Linked DNA regions of Arabidopsis thaliana. The protein of the gene in region 2 interacts with the protein of the main gene of each other region in a pairwise test. Each region holds a gene or a part of one and is shown on either strand. Other genes may lie near its edges. The genes, in order: AT5G06770, RCF3, AT5G05190 and AT1G29120.

The links.
Region 1: the proteins of RCF3 (region 2) and AT5G06770 interact in a two-hybrid assay, tested with the Arabidopsis thaliana proteins (one large-scale study listed by BioGRID).
Region 3: the proteins of RCF3 (region 2) and AT5G05190 interact in a two-hybrid assay, tested with the Arabidopsis thaliana proteins (one large-scale study listed by BioGRID).
Region 4: the proteins of RCF3 (region 2) and AT1G29120 interact in a two-hybrid assay, tested with the Arabidopsis thaliana proteins (one large-scale study listed by BioGRID).

The regions. Positions count from the first base shown.
Region 1 is NC_003076.8:2,090,185-2,094,545, reverse strand, and holds AT5G06770 (KH domain-containing protein / zinc finger (CCCH type) family protein), read left to right. Parts: upstream 1-1,544; 5' UTR 1,545-1,758; coding exon 1,759-1,837; exon of another isoform or gene 1,838-2,366; coding exon of another isoform or gene 2,367-2,379; coding exon 2,380-2,440; exon of another isoform or gene 2,441-2,967; coding exon of another isoform or gene 2,968-3,026; coding exon 3,027-3,609; 3' UTR 3,610-3,843; downstream 3,844-4,361. Other genes in the region: EML2 (Emsy N Terminus (ENT)/ plant Tudor-like domains-containing protein), read left to right, coding at 34-102, 200-263, 353-399; LEA4-5 (Late Embryogenesis Abundant 4-5), read left to right, coding at 4,233-4,319.
Region 2 is NC_003076.8:21,513,108-21,519,083, forward strand, and holds RCF3 (RNA-binding KH domain-containing protein), read left to right. Parts: upstream 1-1,788; 5' UTR 1,789-2,247; coding exon 2,248-2,937; intron 2,938-3,178; coding exon 3,179-3,622; intron 3,623-3,710; coding exon 3,711-3,959; intron 3,960-4,045; coding exon 4,046-4,294; intron 4,295-4,495; coding exon 4,496-4,566; coding exon of another isoform or gene 4,567-4,570; exon of another isoform or gene 4,571-4,598; intron 4,599-4,658; coding exon 4,659-4,767; intron 4,768-4,863; coding exon 4,864-4,990; intron 4,991-5,070; coding exon 5,071-5,090; 3' UTR 5,091-5,440; downstream 5,441-5,976. Other genes in the region: AT5G53050 (alpha/beta-Hydrolases superfamily protein), read right to left, coding at 1-115, 205-325; AT5G53070 (Ribosomal protein L9/RNase H1), read left to right, coding at 5,730-5,879. UniProt on the Arabidopsis thaliana protein: Acts as a negative regulator of osmotic stress-induced gene expression. Involved in the regulation of thermotolerance responses under heat stress. Functions as an upstream regulator of heat stress transcription factor (HSF) genes.
Region 3 is NC_003076.8:1,539,606-1,544,680, reverse strand, and holds AT5G05190 (hypothetical protein (DUF3133)), read right to left. Parts: upstream 3,464-5,075; 5' UTR 2,829-3,463; coding exon 2,708-2,828; intron 2,533-2,707; coding exon 806-2,532; 3' UTR 544-805; downstream 1-543. Other genes in the region: AT5G05200 (Protein kinase superfamily protein), read left to right, coding at 38-154, 293-475. UniProt on the Arabidopsis thaliana protein: Plays a negative role in salicylic acid (SA)-mediated resistance to powdery mildew (e.g. Golovinomyces cichoracearum). May modulate plant immunity by regulating the relocation of EDR1 by interacting with CHC2 and modulating endocytosis.
Region 4 is NC_003070.9:10,172,547-10,179,060, forward strand, and holds AT1G29120 (Hydrolase-like protein family), read left to right. Parts: upstream 1-1,640; 5' UTR 1,641-1,934; coding exon 1,935-2,124; intron 2,125-2,666; coding exon of another isoform or gene 2,667-2,669; coding exon 2,670-2,817; intron 2,818-3,045; coding exon 3,046-3,113; intron 3,114-3,454; coding exon 3,455-3,525; intron 3,526-3,641; coding exon 3,642-3,887; intron 3,888-4,194; coding exon 4,195-4,358; intron 4,359-4,440; coding exon 4,441-4,496; coding exon of another isoform or gene 4,497-4,525; exon of another isoform or gene 4,526-4,588; coding exon 4,589-4,644; intron 4,645-5,067; coding exon 5,068-5,236; coding exon of another isoform or gene 5,237-5,265; exon of another isoform or gene 5,266-5,314; coding exon 5,315-5,412; coding exon of another isoform or gene 5,413-5,448; exon of another isoform or gene 5,449-5,492; coding exon 5,493-5,597; 3' UTR 5,598-5,600; exon of another isoform or gene 5,601-5,684; 3' UTR 5,685-5,975; downstream 5,976-6,514. Other genes in the region: AT1G29110 (Cysteine proteinases superfamily protein), read left to right, coding at 1-525; AT1G29140 (Pollen Ole e 1 allergen and extensin family protein), read left to right, coding at 6,483-6,514.

The DNA.
Region 1 (4,361 bases), about 19 Mb from region 2:
AAGGGTTTTTGATGTCGAAATCTTTCGCATTAGGTCGAGAGAGTTTTTGATTCAAACCTTCCTGATCCACATGAGCTTGATAAGGCCAAGAAGCTACTCAAGGTGAGCGATATGATAATTGATAAGAACTTTGTGACGAGATATCGATTGAAAGAAACAGTGAAGTGAAACTTGGTGTTGTTGTTATTGGATGATATAGGAACATGAACAGGCGCTTATTGCTGCCATTGCAAGGCTTACGGATGCTTCTGATTACGAAAGCGGTAATAAATGTGAACAGCGGCCTTTGTTTATTTCTATTTGTCATGCACTAAGATCACTAACAACAACATAATTTGTGCTGGTGAACCAGATGGAGAAGAACCGTATTCGCATGAGCTTCCAATGCTGCTGGGGTGAGTATGTATGACACCATCACCCCTAGGAAAAATGACTAGCAATATTTCTTTTTCTTCTGTTTTGCTTTAAGGGATCCCAGAAAATGATTTTGTTCATATATGATGAACAATTAGTAGTATTCTTCTAATTTGTGGTTTCAGAATGTATGAAAATAATCGTTAGGAATTTTGTTTGTAAAAACACTATTTTTAAAAAAAAATTCTGAACTTGTGTGATCATCATCAGGCTTGCCATCAGGATCGTTAATAATTTACTTGCTCAAATCCCCAATTCCTGTCTAAACAATGTAAAAAGAATCGAACCAAGCATGTAAATATTGAGAAGAGGCTTTTGACCTTTGAGCATAACATTCAAAATCTGATTCAATTAGCAAGAATATAAGATGGAAAGTGAGATCAACATAAATCACCTGTCACTGAATCCTTCAATTTTAAAAATATTTCAATGGTTACTTTACTTCAATTTATTTTATTGTTTTAAAAAAATATATTCAATGGTTATAAGAACGGTTAACAATAAATTAGTATCAGGGTTATCGTCTTATCGACCCGATGTTAGAAATTTTTTATAATTTTTCTTTTGTTAAAATGACAATCTTAATTCTTAATGGCAATTATATGTTCAATCTTAATGGCAATCTTAAACCGATCGATTATTCAAATTATATGTTCCGTATTTTTTTTAGATTGAATGTTATTGATAGAGTTATCAGAAAAAAATACTACTTTTTAGTTTAAATTACTGTGATTATGATAAAAAATTAAAACGCGCCAAACTTAACGATTTTTTTCCAAAATTTCTACAAATGACTCGTTACCCAAATTATTTTTTCTGTATTTTTTGAATATATTAAAACTAATGTGACTATGATAAAACAATTAAAACGCGCAAATTTAACAATTCTCTATTTTTGAAACCACTGGATGTGAATTAACAATAAATATAAAGTAATATGTGTACAAATAATCAGAGTTGAATATTTTTTTGGTGTTTATTACTTGCATGAGTACAAGTTTGATTCCAGTCTCATCAAATAAACTCTATTATTGTCAAAACATAAATTCATTCTAATGTTAATGTATATACTTTAAATTTATAGTAATCCATATAATTAATAATGGAATTAGTCTCCTGGTCTTTTGGTGTTCCACGAATTAATTTATATTATTAACAAATTAAGCAAACCTCTATCCCCCATTTATATTGTTGAGCTGTGTGTGTGGAGATGATGATGATGATGATAAACCCAATAGAATTTTAAAAGGATAAGAATCGCAAAGCTCATATCACAAAACTTTGAGATCTCATTTCATCTTTCTTCGATTCTACCTACTCCGATTCAATCGATCTTATCGAGACATGGATGCTCGTAAGAGAGGACGCCCTGAAGCTGCTGCCTCTCACAACTCCAATGGCGGATTCAAGAGGTCTAAGCAAGGTTTGTTCTTTCACTCCTCTCCTTCCTATTGTCTCCAATTGGGTTTTAGAAATTCGAGATCTTCACAACAAGAGAGAATGTTTTGGTATCACTTATGTTTGTTCATTTCTAGTTGCAATGTGTGCTCTGTCTCTCGTAAAGGTTGTTCCTTTGTTCATTTTTGTGTTCATTAGAGAGATTAGTCGCAAACCCTTTTTCTGCTTCAGTCTGGTATTACCTTACTTGAGAGTTGGGAGACAATTGATATGAGAAGTTTGTATCTTGTTCTGCTTTGTGTTGTGCTATTGGCTTACCCTTCTTCTCATATTCATTGGATTCATCAATCAACTCCCATTAGCCTTTGTGACCACTCAACATTACTGGATTTACTTGATTGATATATTGATCTGTATCAACTCAAGCTGTTGAGTTCAATTTCAAAACTCTATAACCCTGGAAATTTTCAAAACCAGAATGGTATACTGGTGCCAAGTCCAAATGATATGTATTGAGAAAATTGTAGAAAAGTTTAACCAAGTAAAAGCACTTAATGTTTGCAACAGAGATGGAATCAATTTCAACTGGTTTAGGAAGCAAATCCAAGCCATGCACTAAATTTTTCAGGTTATAAATCTATTTTTTTTCCTGATTGGATCATGAAATTAAGAAGTAATACTGTATAAAGTGTGCTAATGAAGTGGATAGTTGTTATACAGGTACGTAGCACTGTTCATCCTTAAACGAGTTAAAAAGTCAATGTAACAAACTGTGATTCCTCCTAAGAATGGATGATAAGCTTATATGGAGTATAATTTTGGAACTGAACTCTACTGGTGAATCTAATATACAAAATCAACCAAAACTTGTTTTTGTGGCTGTCGTTGTAAACAATTTGTTTATTCTTCTTCTGTTTGATGGTAAGGAAACTGTAATTTTGCATATGCAGCATAAAACCATTGTTCTCAAGTAAGGTTCTTCTTGCATTATCTTTGAACTATCCATGAGTCTTTCGGCTCCTGTGCAACGTGTTGTTCATCGGTGATGCATAATGACTACAATCTGTTTTATTACTTTATAAATTTCTTTCATTATCTTTGTACTAAAACGCTATAGCTTTTTCGAGAAGGTAGCAATAGTGCAACAGCTTGGAGATGTGTCGTTTTGTTCTTTCTCGAATGAATTTGCTGATGCATTATGGTTTGTACTGCAGCACTTCTGGATGTCCATTTGGTGACAATTGCCACTTCTTGCACTATGTGCCCGGTGGGTACAATGCTGCAGCGCAGATGACAAATCTCCGACCACCGGTTTCTCAAGTTTCCAGAAATATGCAAGGATCTGGTGGTCCCGGCGGCAGATTCTCAGGGAGAGGAGATCCAGGATCAGGCCCTGTTTCAATCTTTGGTGCTTCTACTTCCAAGATCAGTGTAGATGCTTCTTTAGCCGGTGCCATCATTGGAAAAGGTGGAATCCATTCCAAACAGATATGCCGTGAAACAGGAGCAAAATTATCGATTAAAGATCATGAAAGAGACCCAAACTTGAAGATTATCGAGCTGGAAGGAACATTTGAACAGATCAATGTAGCGAGTGGGATGGTGAGAGAGCTTATAGGGAGGCTTGGATCAGTGAAGAAACCTCAAGGGATTGGTGGTCCTGAAGGGAAACCACATCCTGGGAGCAACTACAAAACCAAGATCTGTGATAGGTACTCTAAAGGGAACTGTACATATGGAGATAGATGCCATTTTGCTCATGGTGAATCTGAGCTGCGCAGGTCAGGAATCGCTTAGTTATGTCTTTAGACTCTTGAGAACAGATTATGCATTGTTAGCTCCATTATCATTGTGACTTTTTGCTCTCTCTTTTTGTTTTATCAATTTGTTTTATGCGACTCGCTTTGAAAACTTTAGCCCATTCTGTATTGAGCTCTGAAGATTCGACGAGTTCTGTAAGTTACCGATCACAGTTAAAAGACTTTGATATGTTAAAACCCTTATATTACAGCTACATACTATTTTTGTCTTAACTCTTAAGATATCATGCACAATAATATACTTGTTTTGTCTTAACCTATCGATTACAAAACCGGGTTAACCGCCGACATGAGGCGAACTCTAAAGCCTAACACGCGTCAACATCTATCTTCTCAACGACTCAAAGGCTTTCCAACACGTGTAGGACCAATAACTGAAACACAAAGCCTACCACCTCTTCTTCCTCTTCTTTCATGACACGTCTCACTGACGTGTCGTCAAGAACGTAATTAAATATTAAACTATCGTGACGAACGCGAGGCCTATGGCTATATCTATGGGACATGCTCGGTGAGCAAAACAATAAACAAAAGTAATCAGAAGATATCTTTGTAACATCTTTGAATTTCGCTAAAGGAAAAGAGAGAGATTTGGTAAAAATGCAGTCGATGAAAGAAACAGCTTCGAATATTGCAGCTTCTGCAAAATCTGGCATGGACAAAACCAAAGCTACCTTGGAGGAAAAGGTAACAGAATTGTGGTTATTATTAATTTATTGATGTAAAATA
Region 2 (5,976 bases):
ATGCCGGAATCATCGGAAACAATTCCTCCGTCGTCGTCATCATCGTCGTTGGGTTTATCCGTTCCCGTCAATCCCATGATTTGAGGACCCCATGACTCATGGGTTCCGGCTAAACCTGAACAAAATTAGAAAAACCCAATTGAAATCAAGCTCGGAATTGCTAAGGAAACTAATCAAATGGGAAAGATGGAGATTACAACAGACCTATGATGAGAAGAGCTTTGATAGGACCATGACCGTACGTTCTGTAGAAGATTTTGATTGCGGCATTGTTAAGCGTCGTCTCTGGGCCGACATCTTCTTTCACGACCTCGCAAAACGGCATCGCTTTTTTTGTTCTCAAACTCTGATATCTGGGTGGGATCAGATTTTGAATAACCGGAGAGGAGAAGAGGAGAAGAAAGGAAAGGACTTTTCTATCGGAAGAGAGAGAGATTGGGTCTGTGGTGTGGTTCGGTTCGGTTTTTTGGGTGGAGGTTAGGACTGCCACGTAGGATTGGTCGGCTGGATTTTATTGGCGGGTAATATCTAACAAAGGTCAACGGTCAAATTTTTTACACGAGAAAACTATGTTGTATAGAAATATAGCACGTGAAAAACGCTAGAAGTAGAAGTAGTACTACGTCAATGGAATTCATATGCATCATATATAAGAGAAGCGATAATGGGTCTGAACACAAGTGGAGCATTAACCTAAAACAATAGCAACTTAGACCATTTGTTGAAGTAGTCACTACACTATTTTAATCTCCGGTTCAATTTGTTGAACTTTATAATGTTTTGCTATTTTGATCCGCGTTGCTTTATATTATATTGGTGTGGTTTCAGGAGAAGACAGATCGAGACACAAAACAAGGCAAGATCGTTACTGACATTTTATGCTGGACACTAGATAATTGTTCACCAGGACATGTGATAATAAAACCTCCATGACTTCGTGGCTGCTTTTTCATTATATATAGTTTAGGTCACCATCTTGTCGTAGCACAACCTGAAAACGCAATACCTTCTCCTGAAACGGAAAATATTTGTTGGGAAGACCTATCATTTGGAAAGTACTTATGCCCGTCAAGGCTCACAATTTAGACGAAACGATCCACCAACAACTTAAGCTTTGAGTCTTTGACCATAAGTGCGAGACGATTTTCTTGTATTGTTAATTTGTTATTGCTTGTTTTTGTGAACTGATCCTTAGTTTTTTTTTTCATCAAAAGTGATCATTTAGTTAAAGACTTAAAGTGCAATGAGAGTTTGGTTTCTTTATTTTTAAACTCTTGAAAAATTAATTTTGTCAATGAAGCAATACAAATTAAATTGCTGAAAAGGGATAGTAAATCGTTTTTTGTCCTTACGGATTGGTGATGAAAATGGTATTCAACGGATGCAATACTTAGATGCACCAAATGATTTTTACCATATGCTAAACTTTAACACTAAACCAATTATACTTTACCTGGTAAATATTAAAAGGATTTTTTGTTTTCCAAAAACAGTTTTAGTATATGTACTTAATTACATAATACCGCGGTTAATAAATAGTTAAAAATTAAATTAGAAAAAAACACATACGTGTCTACAGTTTTAGTCTCGTACATAACACGAAAAATCATCTAATTGGTTACGTATTAATCATATCATTTTTACCTATTAGAAAAAAATTATTTATACATTTTTAGTATCTACTAATACGTTACGTGAGCACAAAAATTCATCTTCATCAGTGCTAATAACTATGCGAAAATCTGATGACGATTCATTTGTCTAACAATTTATTTAGCTTAATACGAGTTTTTAAAGATGAAGCATACCCAAATTTCCCAAGAGACCAAAACGACAACGTTTGGGAGTAGCTAATATCGTAGTTAGCGCACGCCACTAACATCACCCATTGCACGGTCTCTCTCTACTCTCAAACTTCAAAAAGCTTTGGCTTTTTAGATTCACAGGAAAGAACCCTCAAAACACACAAAAAGCTGGTGATTTTTGCATTGCACCGATTCGCCTCCATCGATTTTGGACATTCTTGAATTCTCCCTCCAAGTATTCCTGTGAAATTGACCGGAAAGTTCCTTCCTTTTTCAATTTCCGGTAAAAAGGAAAGTAATTGGGTACTGTAGACTTCCTTCTAGGGCTTGTGAACTTTCTAATCCTTCAGAAAACCCTCGAATTCGAAAAATTTGCTGCGAGATTGATAAATGACTAGTTAAAGATTTGAACTTTGATTTCTGGGTTTGCGATTTTATTCAAATGGAGAGATCTAGATCCAAGAGAAACTACCACTATGACCAAGACTATGACGGAGATTCCATGCCTAGGTCTAAACCTCGCTACAACAATAATTACCACTTTGGTGGTGGCGGCGGAGGAAATAACAGATACCGTGGCGGCGGCGGTGGTGGAGGTGGAAATGGCCGGCCATCGAAGTCTCATCCTGAAACGATGGCAACAACGACTTATCGAATCCTCTGTCACGACGCTAAAGCAGGAGGTGTTATTGGTAAATCCGGGACAATTATCAAATCTATAAGGCAACACACCGGCGCGTGGATTAACGTGCACGAGCTAGTTCCTGGAGATGCAGAGCGTATCATTGAGATTTCTGATAATCGTAGGCGTGACCCTGATGGGAGAATGCCGTCTTTCTCTCCTGCTCAAGAGGCTTTGTTTAGTGTTCATGACAGGATTTTGGAGAGTGAAGCTCAGTTTGGTTATGGTGGACCTCCGCCGGAAGAGGAGGAGGATTACGGTGGAGTTAGACCTGGTGGAGGGAGAGTTGTGACTAGATTAGTGGTTTCTAGGATGCATGTTGGTTGTTTGTTGGGTAAAGGTGGGAAGATTATTGAGCAGATGAGGATTGAAACTAAGACTCATATTCGGATTCTTCCAAGAGAAAGTAACTTACCTCGTTGTGTTTCACTCTCTGAAGAGATTGTTCAGGTCTGAAAAATTGCTATTTTGAGAACATATTTGAAATGGTGAATCTTGTTGAGATTTTGATATGAAATGTAGTCAGTTTATTGAAATGCTAGATAATTTAAATGTGTGATTGTGAGGTTGAGGTTGTTGACAAGAGTTGAATCACTCTTATGTAGTTAGCTTGGTCATTATTTGTTATGTTTAAGCTTTCTTTGGTGTTTTCTACCTATGGGAAATGCATTTATAATGTTGGTTCTTTCAGATTGTAGGTGAACTAAATGCAGTGAAAAACGCTTTAGCCATTGTATCATCTCGTCTAAGGGAGAGTCAGCATCGTGATCGGAGTAATTTCCAAGGGCGTTCACATTCACCAGAACGGTCGTTTGCAGCTGCGGGGGATGATTACATGCCACAGCTAAGAAGACAATCATCCGATAGGTTTCCTCGTGGTAATTTTAGAAATAACAACTTCAGTTCTCGCCAGTCCAACTATGCAGAAGAAGCTCCAGCAGTTCCAGTTGGTGAGAATGTCTACTCCGAAGAGCTTGTGTTCCAGATTCTCTGCCCAGCTGACAAGATTGTTCGGGTTGTTGGGGAATCGCAAGGAATAATTGATTTGCTTCAGAACGAGATCGGCGTGGACGTTAGAGTATCTGACCCAGTTGCTGGATCTGATGAACAGATAATCACCATTTCTTCGGAAGAGGTACTCTAAATACCCTCAGATCTTCTTCAATATTATCTGTTACATTTACAATTGTGAACTTGAAGTTTTGTATTCTTACTTTGCTTAGGCACCTGATGATCCATTTTTCCCTGCTCAAGAAGCCTTGTTGCACATTCAAACTCAGATCATAGATCTTATTCCGGATAAAGATAATTTAATAACAACAAGATTACTTGTCCCATCTAGAGACTCTATATGTTTGGAAGGGAAAGCAGGATCAGTATCTGAGATATCACGATTAACTGGAACAAGCGTACAAATTCTAGCTAGGGAAGAAATTCCCCGATGTGCTTCTATCAATGATGTTGTTATACAGGTATGTTTGTCTATTTTTGAGGAGTCGAGCATTTTCTAAACAACTTCTGGTCTCAAAAGAGAATTCTTATGTGAATGTCGATGTAGATTACTGGCGAGATCAGAGCTGCTCGGGAAGCACTTGTTGAATTAACATTACTATTGAGGAGTCATATGTTCAAGGAGCTCTCTCAAAAGGAGACACCACCAGCTTCCACATCCACAACTGGCCCTCTCGAAGGTGTTGCAGGAGTAATGGAGGTAGCTTCATCAAATAACACAATTCAATCTCGTGAAGGTCCTACTAGTTCGAATCTGAACTTGCAGCAAGTTAGCACAATCTTGCCACAGTTTAAGGTTTTTGTTCTCATCAACAATCTTTTCAATATAAAGGCATCTGTAATCAGTTAGGGTCAGACTTATTTTTGCCATCGAAACAATGTAATATTACTATCAGGCTATGCATAATTACCTGAATACTTGGAAAGTAGTCTATGGTTCTTGTCCATTCGTGCAATGTCCCTATATTTACATATATTTTTCTCTTGGTTTTTATAGGAAGGTTTCGGATCAGTTGCAAAGGCGGGTGAAAGTGAACACCGGGAAGAGGTTCCTGTCACGACAAGCAGGTAGAGAAACTCCCAAATTTGATATATTTTCCCAAAACCGTACAAGTGCTTGTTTCACACCTTTCCTTCCTGCTTTTTGTTTTTTTCTCTAGAATGGCGGTACCACTTGTTACTAGAAGCACTCTTGAAGTTGTCTTACCAGAGGCGGTTGTTCCTAAGCTCGTTACGAAATCAAGAAACAAGCTTGCACAAATCAGTGAGGTAGAACTCTTTTTAACTGGAACTAGATTGGTGCAAATCATGACTCTAATCAAAATCTTTGACGCTTTGTCTTATCTCTTTCCCACTTGATCACAGTGGTCTGGAGCTAGTGTAACCATAGTTGAAGACAGACCAGAAGAAACACAGAATATCATTCGAATTTCGGGTACACCCGAGCAAGCAGAGAGAGCTCAGAGTTTGCTTCAAGGCTTCATTTTGAGCAGTAAGTTTCTCTCTTTCCAAACTTTTATATCCGTATTGTACTGATCTATAAGTCTGATTTCCGTTCCTTGTTTGGTGCAGTACAAGAGGATGGACCGTGAACTTGGACCAGATCATCAGTCAACACAGAGATGAAGATCAAGAAACTGAGAAATGTGGAGTTATGTATGACTTGTTGAATATTAGGATTTCAGTAAGCAGTAGTTTAGATGAACATTCCACATTTTGACCATCACTCTTTGGTTTCTATGTTGTCTATTAGTCTTCTTTGTTTACATTGTTCTGTAACTTATTTAAAAAAGTCATTAAAGTTTAATCCGAATGACTAATCATTAAAGACTCATCTTTAATTCACACCACCCCTATGTATATTGGAAGAACTTAAACGCTGCGTTTCACTTGAGTTAACATCATTGAGATTGGGGTGTTTTTGCCCTAGATAAAGTTTAGGGTGAAAACATAGATAAATCTTAAGTCGTATTTTACAAAAATAGCCACTGCTAAAACCTCACCTGCGGCTTCACCTTTCTTCGAGTTCGTGAAAAAGAGACGTCGCATCGCACCGCCGTCGCCATTTCCACCGTCGTAGCATTGCCGCTTCACTGGTGATTGATTCTTCCTTAACTTCTCTTTTTGTTTTCTCTGTTCTCTTATATCCGTCGTTTTCTAGGGTTTTCTCACTCCTTGTTGTGGAATCTCTCTTTGTAGACTGTCGCACTGAATATTGTTGAATCGAGAAAATGGCTTATGTTGGGCAAAGTAGAAACGTGATTCGGCATGTAGTCTCGAGAGGAACAGCTTATCACAAGTATGAAAATGCGATTCATCATCCTCTCCTTTTCGCTTGTCAAGGAGTTCGATACAGAAAATTAGAAGTTATTCTTACAACGGTGAGGTTTAATGATTCTGAAAGGCATGATTTTTATCGTTTGATTTTGAAATTTCCTTCACATTTCGTTGGGTTGAATTGAAATCAGATGGTGGGTT
Region 3 (5,075 bases), about 20 Mb from region 2:
GCTAATCTTATAGAGAAAAGTGAATCTCTTCTTGCAGGAACTAGATACAGAGATAGTAGTGGCTACAGCTCGTGGAACAAATTCAGACACTACTGCTGTTGCTGCTAACGTAGTTATGGATGAGAGACAGATGAATGCTCTTTTCCTCGACCTGGTAAGCAGTTAGACGTAATTTCTTAAGGATTTTTTTTTGGTTTGAAAGTTGTTAAGAGGATATAGAAGTTGCATTGAGTTAAGATAAACCCCAGGATTTGAGCTTTCAGCAGTTGAAAATAAGTTCACTTTCTTATAGGTGCGTGTTAGCGAATCATATGGTCTTAAGTTCCCGAGAGAGTTTGCACTTCTGTTGAAGCAACTTCTGTACTTCGATCGATACACAAGACTATTAGCCCCAAACCTGAACATGCTGCAGGATCAGCGGATCTCTATCGCGTCCAACAAGAGGACGAATGGATACAAGGACAGCTTCAACTAAGTTTATGCAAATATACTTCACTAAACCTATTCAAACTTTTTATTTATTTACAAGTGGTAATGTTATAGTAGATTATCAAGCCAAGAACGATGATGAATTCAATCTTGTTACAAACATATCATGACTATATACAACAGATGAACTATATCTTCTTCTATTTTTTTGTATAATTTTTCACAAGTGTCATGGTTTCTACTTTAAACAAAAGTGCAGAGACAAATCTTTTACCTATACACAGAAGTGAAATAAAGAATGGCAAACAATGGCAAAACTTTCCATCTCAGATTCTCAGAAGTTCATAGTTCTCGTTGCTTCATCTGAAGCAGAGATCTATATAGAAGGAGGACGCTGTGAAACTTTAAAGACTTGGCTTACAGTAGAATATCCCATTAGTCGGTGAAGCGGAGAGCCTCTAGCCACAGGTAGCTCCTCATCCTGAACAGAGGATCTCAGCTTTTCAGGTTTGGAGGGAGCTTTGTCTATGGGAGACTCTGATGTTGAATTGCTATTCCTATTAGCATTTATGTCATGTGTTACTGCAGGAACTAAATGATTTCTGGACTGAAGTGAGAATCTGAGAACAGTGGTGCAAGTGCCGCATCTGAGAAGATGATGTTTCCTCTTGAAAATGAGAAAGTCTACAGGAAGCTGCAGGTTTTCTGAGCAACTGTAACAGCTAACAAAAGGTGCCCCACCAGCTGTTGGACGGACATGACGCTTGGCCACACGTTGTCTCTCTCTTAGACGACGGGTCTGTAACTCATGGTGGTGGCCAGCATGTCTATTACGCTGATGATCCTCCACGTCTGAGACTATCTCACGCCTCCATCTCGGATGATACTCAGGTTGTTCCATTGGTCTCTGTGGACTTGCAGAATATGAACTGTAAGAATTATGAAGCTGACCTGAATACCAACCGCCATGGTTTCTTCCCATTTCACCTGAGATCCTACTTCCTTGGCCCTGACCTCTTGCCCTTGGGTTGTTGTGATACATATAGTCAACAAAATCGTGGTTCATGCCTCCAGCGTATGAAGGCATTTGAAGTGAGTGTGCACGGGGATAGCGATCAAACTCATCATGTGACGGATGGGAAGGGCTTCCACGTGTGTATGATTCTCTCGGATAGAAAGGCATGTCAGGCCGAAGTTGTTCTGTCACATGTCTCCTCCCTTGTCTGCCAAGGCGCCCTCCTGGTCCCTCTAGCTGTAGAGACCTGTTCTGATGCCGCTCGTTGTATGTGGTAATCCCATTGCGCCTATTCTCAGAGAAAGGGGAGGAGGAACTAGCGCCTTGCTCCTTATACCCAGGGTATCTATGCATCTCAAATTTGCCTGATCTTATTTTCTGAAGAGCATTCCATTGTTCGTCATCATCGAGAAGTTGGCCTTCCCTTTCGTCAGAGGAAGACTCACTCCCATCATAAGCAGAAGAAGTCTTGTTTGCAGGATAATCAAGTTGGCTTTGCTTCTCTTCAACAGGGGAAGCATCAGGTGAGATCTCAGCATTGCCAGATGAATTACTCGCTCTTGCAGCCACCACATCATAAGCAGAAGGAGTCTTGTTTGCAAGAATGTCAAGTTGGCTTTGCTTCTCTTCTACGGGGGAAGCATCCGGTGAAATCTCAGAGTTACCGGATGGATTACTCGCTCTTGCAGCCACCACATGATCAACGCTCAAGCTTCCAGAGCTAGATCCAGATCCTGCAGCTTCTGCTACGGTGTTCATCATATGAGACTCCAATCTGGAGTTGTCTTCTCTTTCATTCTTCTCAGAATCACCAAGTGAACATTCCTGCTCTTGAATTTCATTTGTCCCATCTCCATTAGATAACTCTAAGTCATCAAGCTCCTTCTCCGTAGACTCCATGGATGCATTCCTACCTTTCTCATACTCTTGGTCCACGGAACGACCTGGAGATGACGGCAGAACCGTGTCCTGCCCCGAGCTGCTGGACACATTGTTGGTTTCAGGTACGCTTTGCGGCTCATTGGCTTGAGCCCTCTCTGTCTCTCCTGCACTTGGTGTACTGCTTGGAGCAATGTTCCGCCTTTTCGCTGAATCAAAGAAGCAACAACCAAATTTAATAATGAAAGAGATCATGCCACAAAACACAACTGGTTTGAGCTCAGACATCCAAACAGATGGACAACCAGGAGTAGAACAAAGCCAGATTCAGGGACAGAGTTCACATTATAATCAGAGGCAAAATCGAAATGGAAAGAAAGTTACCTTGAAGAATGGCGGAACAACCACCGCACTGATAAACAGGAACATCTTCGTCTTCCTGTAGAATCTTCAAGCACTTGGGACACCTCACCAACCGAATTTTCTGACCCGTCTGGCTCGCCATTGTTGGTACCAAATTTCAAAGACTTAACTCTACTTTTGTTATTTTTGGGTTATAACTCTACCTCATTAGTTAGAGAATCATCATCAACAGAACCCAGAACCCTAATAAACAGAGAGAGAGAGAGGAACCAAAGTAAAAGATTGAAACTTTGTGAAGTTCTTTAAAAGAAAATGGGAGAGGAGACCAGAGGAAGAAGGTCAACGCGGTGTGACTTTTAAGGAGGAGAAATGGTATAACCCGGGTCTGGTCTGAGAGCTGGTTACGGATCCGGGTAGAGATGAAAAATGGCGAGAAGGAAAAGATTACATGATTCAAGAAGCCATGAAAATTGTGTAAGATCCTCCACAGAAGAATCAAAGTAAAACTCTTTGCAGAGAGTTATTATAACTCGAGGGATTGTGGAAGAATAAACCCAGAAGTTGAAGATTTTATAGAGAGAGAGAGAAAGAATGAGATAGAAATAGAGAGGAGAATTTCTTGTCGTGGGGGCGAAGTAGAAGAAGAAGAAGAAGAATTGAGAGAACAGAGACAAAAAAACAAAAACAAATCGTTGGACAGACAGTTTTTTTTTTTTTTTTACTATGGTTTCTCTCTTTTCTTGTTTTTTTCCTCTGAGAAAAGTCTCTCTTTTTCCGTGTCTAAAAAGTTTTTTCTTTTTAATATCTCTTTGAGGAATTTTTTGGTATCTTTTTTCATTCTTGCAAGTCAATTAGAACATCAACGACTCGTTCTCTAATCACTATTCTTTCTTAAACAAAACCCAGTCTGTTGTTGATCTTTTCAATAAACAATATTGGCCCAATTTTTTTCTAAAGAAAGCATCTGCAACAGAGCTTTGTTAGAAGAATTAAGTAGAGGAAGATAAGAGAAAGAGTAAATTGGGTTCAGCTAAATAAAAATTTGGATAAAGAGTTATAAATGGAATGGTGTTGTTAATGTCGGCGCCTGTTTCATTTATTTTGGATAGAGAAATTTTAGCCCCACTACTACTTCCATTTTTCTCATTTATTGATCCCAGTCCTTTTTTTCTTACTTTTTACCATTACCTTCTTAAATATTTCCTAACATTCGAAGTTTGAATATTCCGGTAAATGACTAAATGTTGCCAAGGGAAATTAAATTACCGTGAATGTTGAAATGAATTGGGTTCCACATATTTATTTCTAGGACCTGACAAAAAGCATAATGATCATATGTTTTTCGTATATATATTTATATCACTGGTCGAATTTAACGAACTTTTCATTTTTCTAATGAGAATTCACTAGCCGTGTGAGTGTTTTCAATCACTTTTATTTATAACCAGACAAGTTGAGTCTTTGGTTCATAACCTTTTTAGGTATGAAACCAGTTTTCAAATATAGCACCTACAAAGAATTTGAAATTGATAGCAACGTAACAAAATATTAATCTTCAAATTGGTTCATAAAGTTTTAGGGAACTTGTGAGAAATAAATGAATAAAAGTTTTGTAGGGCTATCTCAAGTCAAATAGTATATATTAAGTATTAACGTACATGTATATCACATTATTTTTTAACGATATGAAAAAAAACTAAGGTAATGGTCGACAGACTCGGTCTTTTATCGTTTTGTGCTGTCTAGTTTCTCTACTTTCTAGATTATCGTTTTGGCTTTGTGATTCTGTAAAAGTCAACCTTTGTTGTGGTGTCCTATTTCTTTGTAGACTTAATTAGAGGTTGCTTCAATATTTGTTTTCTCTGCACAATCCAATGACTAACGGGATACGATTCACAAAACGAATCAAATCAAATCAAGTTCAATACCATTCGAGTCTTCTTCTTCACAGATTACAAATTCGATTATGCGTTGACTCTTTAATTGAGTCAATGGTTTGGACCACTACATGGTTTGTAAATGTTTATTTCTATTTCAAATCGCTAGCTGTTACCTAACATTCAGGACATGAACAAAAACTATCTTACTAAAAAAAAGTCAAAATTAAAGTTTCAAATGTATAAAAGATAATATTGGAGGTCAACTCCCATTTGACAACATTCATATATAGTTATAAATTGATTTTGTTTTTCTATTTACTGTGTTCCCATGATGTTTCGTGAACACATGAAGTTATGGTATTGAATAGAATGGATTTTCTTTTAGTTTTTGGTTTATTCTACAGAACAAGCTCTTGAAATAACTAAAAAATTCACTAACTAAAAACTTGTGATATATACCATGCTGGTTATATTCGCACAACGATTGCAATCATAATTGGCTACTATAG
Region 4 (6,514 bases), on a different chromosome or scaffold from region 2:
CTATTAACACTGTCCGAACAACAGCTAATAGATTGCGACATAGAGAAAAACGGTGGTTGCAATGGCGGAGAATTTGAAGAAGCTTTCAAGTACATAATAAAAAACGGAGGCGTTTCTTTAGAAACGGAATACCCTTACCAAGTGAAAAAGGAGAGTTGTCGTGCCAACGCCAGACGCGCCCCACATACACAGATTAGAGGGTTTCAAATGGTTCCAAGCCACAACGAGCGTGCGTTGCTCGAGGCCGTAAGAAGACAGCCCGTCTCGGTGTTGATTGACGCAAGAGCGGACAGTTTCGGTCATTACAAAGGGGGAGTGTACGCTGGGCTGGACTGTGGGACAGACGTGAATCATGCAGTGACGATCGTTGGGTACGGAACGATGAGTGGGCTCAACTACTGGGTTCTTAAGAACTCTTGGGGTGAGAGTTGGGGAGAAAATGGTTACATGAGGATCCGTAGAGATGTGGAGTGGCCTCAAGGAATGTGTGGTATAGCTCAGGTTGCTGCTTATCCGGTTTTTTAACTAATTTACTTAGGTGGTTTTTTATATTGAAGTGATCATACATTTTGTAGCCTGGTTTATGATTGTTTACATGTGGTAAAATTGCAACTTAAACTTGACCTTAAAAACTGTAATATGTTCATTTTATTACTCCATATAAACGTATTTCCCTCACTTTCATAATAAATAAAGGGATGTGTTTTTCACTTAAATCGTGTTCCATAAGAAACATTGTTTGAATTTTCAATGCAAATTTTAAAACCAAATTTAAAATTATCGCTAATAAAACTAAAATTATAGTGTAAGACGTGTTAATTACAAGTAGATTTTGATTTTATTTTTCATCGAAAATGAACCTTTATTAACTTTAATCGAATATCAAACTAGTACAAATGATGGCAAATCCATGGGGCTGGATTAGAGACATCCAAATAGAAAGGTGAATCTACACATCCATATTAGCTAAATGGTAAGCGGCAACATTGTTGCAACGTTTTGTGAAAAGGAATTGGAACTCTTTAAATTTCTGCGACCAATAATGGATATCTTGACATGATATCCTTATGATTAAGATACCTTAGGCAGTATTATAAGTAGATTAGCAAAAAAACAAAAAAAAATTATATATGAATCCATCATTAAGCTTGATTTGTTTTTTTAACTTGTCCAAATAAAAGTTTAGTTTCAATATAACAACATCTACAACACCCGGTTACATATGATACCTCGAGGTCCACGACGACACACTAGTACACTACATATACATAACCAATTCGCACCATATGATATTTAGATACCCCTTTGACAATATCATGTAAGGGCTTTTTTGGAAAGCATCACTAACAAGTTAACAATTGGATTTTTACAAAAACCATAAAAATTTTACTCGGTTTAGTAGACAAATATATTTTGGTGTTATCTTACCATTTACACCAAAAAAAAGAAAAAAAAACTACTAGCAGTATTGATTAAAAATTTAAAACAGAAAATATATATATATATATATACCAAAAAATTGTAAATAGTATTCTTTTGACCTTTGTTTTGGAGTGAATTGGTTGATGAAGAAGAAGAAGAACCTGGTCCGATTCTAAACCTTTTTTTGAATATAAAACGGAATAAAAATATTCTGTGTTTGAGTCGCCTAACAACAACACGCACCACCCGAAATTATAAAGTAAAAGTAATAAAATCAAATTATATAAATTGGCAAAAGTCGAAGAAGATGATGATTGAATGTTTATTTGGCAGTGAATGGAAGAGATAGAGAGGAGCATGGGTCTCTGTGAAGAAGATAACGTAGAGAGAGTTATTATGTTTGATTCTGAAGCGTGACGTCACTCAGAAACCGTGAATCAAGGATCTTTCTTCCACTCCTTTCTCTGATTTTGACTTTCTCTCCTCTCTCTATATATAAGCTCAACATCAATATGTCTACGGCTTCTTCTTGGATTCAACAACCTCCTTTTAGATACTTACCGGATCGTGGCGGTTTCTCTAAGCCAAGCTCTCGCAGCGCGCGGCAGTTTTCCTCCGGCGTTGTTTCAGCTTCCGCTTCTTCTCCTTCGCCTTCATCCTCGTGCTCCTGTGGTTATTCGGAGATTTTGAATTTCGATTTCGGTAATAGGCTTTGATCTTCGAATGATGTTTGTCGTGTAGATTTAGGGATTGATTACTTTGTTCATGTTTATCGAATGATGCGTTGTTACATCTGGAAATGACCTGACATTGTACTGCAAAGTTTCATAGCTGAGGATTTCTCGATCAAAGACGTTGTTTAGGATGGTGAAGAATAGTATCGCCTAATTTAGATTGAGGAGGAGCTCAATTACAGTGTCTATATACACAGATTTGTCCCTGTTTCTGCAAGAGATAGAAGATTTTAAGATGTTAGATGATTGTGATATGCCAAGTAGAATTAGTGATAGTATGGTTTGTTTGGTCAAGAATCGGCTCTGTTTTTCTTTTGATTTAGAGCTCACAATTTCGGTGTCTATTTAAACAGATTTTTCCCTGTTTCTGCGATCGAAAATAAGCTTGAACATGTTAAATGATTGTGAGAAGCTAAGTAGAAATGGTGATAGTATGATTTGTTTGGTTAAGAATTGGCTCTGTTCTTTATAGCTTTTTCCGCGGGTTCATTTGTTTGATTTTTCTTTAAGAAGGGTCAAACAGAAGCTGGAACCAACAGGGACGCAGGGTTCAGGCAATGAGTTCCACAGCCCAACGGAAATTTTCGCTATCGAAAGGCGACTCCGATGACAAAAATGAACCTGATCATCTTCTTGTTCTTGTACATGGTATTTTGGCCAGGTATTATTTCTAAGTAGTTCATCAATTGAATGGTACTGGGTTTGCATCTTGGGAAACCCTCATGGTTTTGTTTTAGGTTGGATAGAAACTTGCAAGTATTTGAATTTGAAAGTTATGTCTATCATTGTCAAAAAAAAGAAAGAAAGTTATGTCTATCATTTCTGCTACTTTGTTTTCAGATTGAATAATTTATAGACTCCAAATTTACTAAGACACAATTACTTGCAGTCCCAGCGACTGGCTCTACGTAGAAGCTGAGCTGAAAAGACGCCTTGGAAGAAGATTCTTGATTTATGGTATGCTCATCTTGTTCTAAATTGTTATCATCTATTAGTTTAGTTGAGTAGTTGTTGGATTGTATGTATAATAGAAGAGAATTTTTGGGAATGAAATGGTAACGTAAGTTGAATGCATGTGCTGGGCACAAAATTGAAAACACTTCAAGGTCTTATATAATCTTTAGCGGCAAGAGGCGAAATATACATTTTCTTGAAAAATTTAAGATCTTTTCGTCTGGAACCACAACTCTTCTTTAGTTTTGTATTTTATTATAATACTCATGTGCTTTTATGCTATGCGTGGAATGGATCACACGTGATGTGTTTTAATTTACTCTGTTTCTCCTGAACATTCACAGCAAGTTCTTCCAATACCTTCACTAAAACATTTGGCGGGATCGATGGAGCTGGAAAACGACTAGCAGAAGAGGTGAGTTTTAATATCTTCATTTGCACCTCGTGTATAGGTAGGTCTTGGTTTTCTAGCCCTTAACTTCAGTACATGAGCTGATTTCTGTTCCCATTCTGGATGTGAGAGAGGAATAGGTTAGACAAGTTGTCCAAAAGAGCAAGAGCTTAAAGAAGATTTCGTTTTTAGCCCACTCCCTCGGTGGCTTATTTTCCAGACATGCTGTTGCTGTTCTTTACTCAGCAGCAATGGCACAAGTAAGTGATGTTGCTGTCTCTCAATCTGGCAATTCAAATCTTCTGCGAGGTAGGATTGCGGGGCTAGAACCGATTAATTTCATCACTTTGGCAACACCTCATCTAGGAGTGAGAGGCAGAAAGCAGGTTCTCTTCTTCTCTACTTATCATAATTGGAATTTTGGAATCAAAGAGTTTCATATATATCTCGCAGTACCTGTACGTAGATGTGGTGTATGCGTAATTAAGAAAGTAGTTAGTCGTTTTTCACATGTAAATTTCATCTACCTTCTCCTTGTGTTCAGACAGATATCATAAGTTTCATCAAAACTGTCTTGCGTTTTTTGCTATTTGGTCCCCTAAGTGTCTAGACTGATGAGTGATGAATATTAATTGATAATCCCTGTAAATTCTATCTCATTCTCTCCTCTTTTTCTGGAACCCCTTGTATCAGCTGCCTTTTCTGTTGGGAGTTCCTATTCTTGAGAAACTTGCTGCACCAATAGCTCCATTCTTTGTTGGTCGGACTGGTAGTCAGTTGTTCCTCACTGATGGTAAAGCTGATAAACCACCTCTTCTTTTGAGGATGGCATCTGATGGTGAAGATCTGAAATTCTTGTGAGTAATGCTCTTACCAATTTAAATCATTCGACCCCTTAATGACTTATCTGTAATCCTAATGCATTTCATTGTCTGGCAGATCGGCGCTGGGGGCATTTCGAAGTCGCATTATATATGCAAACGTATCTTATGACCGTATCCTGTGCATTTCTGTTGCTGTTTAACTAGTACAGATGTGCCTAGCTGTGTCTGCATTTGTTTTCTGAACTGTTTCCTTTGACATCAAGTAGACATGGTTGGTTGGCGTACATCTTCCATTAGGAGAGAAACTGAACTTATCAAGGTACGTTTCATGCTATATGAAGCAATGGAACCTTTCTATTTAATATTACCCCACTTGTTTTCATGTTCCTTCTATTATGTAAGTTGATTTCGACTCTGAAACGTGTAGCACACACTAGCTAGATGATGGGGTCATCGATATTGATAGTTAGCTTGCTGTGAAATGCTAACGGTAGCTAACTTATCCTGAATTTTGGAATTATGAGTAATCATAGAGGGAAAGTTTCATAGAGGTAAAGAGTCTAAGAAATGAAACAATTGTCTGTAGAGAATCACCAAAAATACTTTCGGCAATTCATTTATCTCAAGTAGCTTCGTGCAAGAAGCTCTCTGTGGCTTGTAACCAGTCAAATGAAACTTTGAAAATTATTTAGCTGTCACGAGTGAGATCTGATAGATATGTTTTTCCCCTGTTTTAATATAGCCTTCACGCCGGTCTCTGGATGGATACAAGCATGTTGTTGATGTTGAATACTGTCCACCTGTTTCATCAGATGGTGCCCATTTCCCTCCAGAAGCTGCTAAAGCCAAGGAGGCCGCACAAAGCTCTCCTAGCCCTCAGAACACACTTGAGTATCATGAAATTGTGGAAGGTGTAGAATTAGCCCAAACATTTGATTGATTCTTCTAAATCGGCATGAGATTTACAATTTATACAAATATTGGTGCAGAGGAAATGATCCGCGGTCTGCAGAGGTTGGGGTGGAAGAAAGTTGATGTCAGCTTCCACTCCACCTTCTGGCCTTACTTAGCTCATAACAACATTCACGTAAACTTCCAACATCTTCACTTTGGAGCTTTTTAATTCTTTGAAACATGGACTAACAGAGATTTTGAGTCTTGTTTCAGGTGAAAAGTGAAAGACTTTACAAAGCAGGAGCTGGAGTTATTGCACACGTTGCAGATAGTATAAAACAGCAAGAGTCTTCCACGTTTATTACCGCCAGCTTATAAATCGTGAGCATTTCGAGTGTTTGACCCGTTAATGCTGAGTGTGCTACGACATTTGAACCATTCCTGTGTTTTGCTTTTACCATACAGTTTGGGAGATCGGTGCAGATCAAGAATGTTCGCATCTTTGCTTCTTCTATTTTTTTTCTTGGCGAAATCAGAAGAAGTACAATCCAATTCATCTGTACATGATTTTCTTGTATTAGCTTGTTGATGATACAACACTTGAAAGATGTTATTATAGATTAAGGTTTCTTAAAGAGAAAAGTTATATATGTTCAACCTCTACTCTTCAAAATAACAGATTCAGCTGAAGACATTTGTTTCTAGTCAATTTGTTTTTGGAATTTTTCTTAATTCAAAGAAAATTGTGCAAAAGCTTTCATGTGCGGCTCAGATTAATTAGTCATTTACTACTAATAAAACTTTCACTTTGGGGTCTAGTAGATAATTCTCCACCCCCATTGAATCTTTTTAGTGGAGGTCTAAACATACATAAGATTCTATAGATTGACATTTGGGAAACCATCCTCATACAAAAAAGACCTAAACGGAATCTATGAAGAATTATTAACAGAAAAGAAAAACAGATGGCAATGAGAAAAGATCGGGTTCAAGGAAAACACAGCCGTACAAAACTCAAGAACAAAAACACCAAAAATAAACAAAAAAACTTCCAAAAATAGATATAGAATCACATGGTTTTGTTGTTTTGTCTATTTGTTCTCTATAAAAGGAGATATTTGGTTGGATCTATCATAGCGTCTCCTCTCAACCAAAGCTTACAATTTGTTCTCCCTTAAAAACTAAATTTTACAAATAAACTCTCAAATCCAAGAGAGGAGAAGACCGAAGTAAAAACACAAGAAAAAAAAGGATTAAGGCATAATGGCCAAATTCTTCATTGTCTTCCTTGCCTC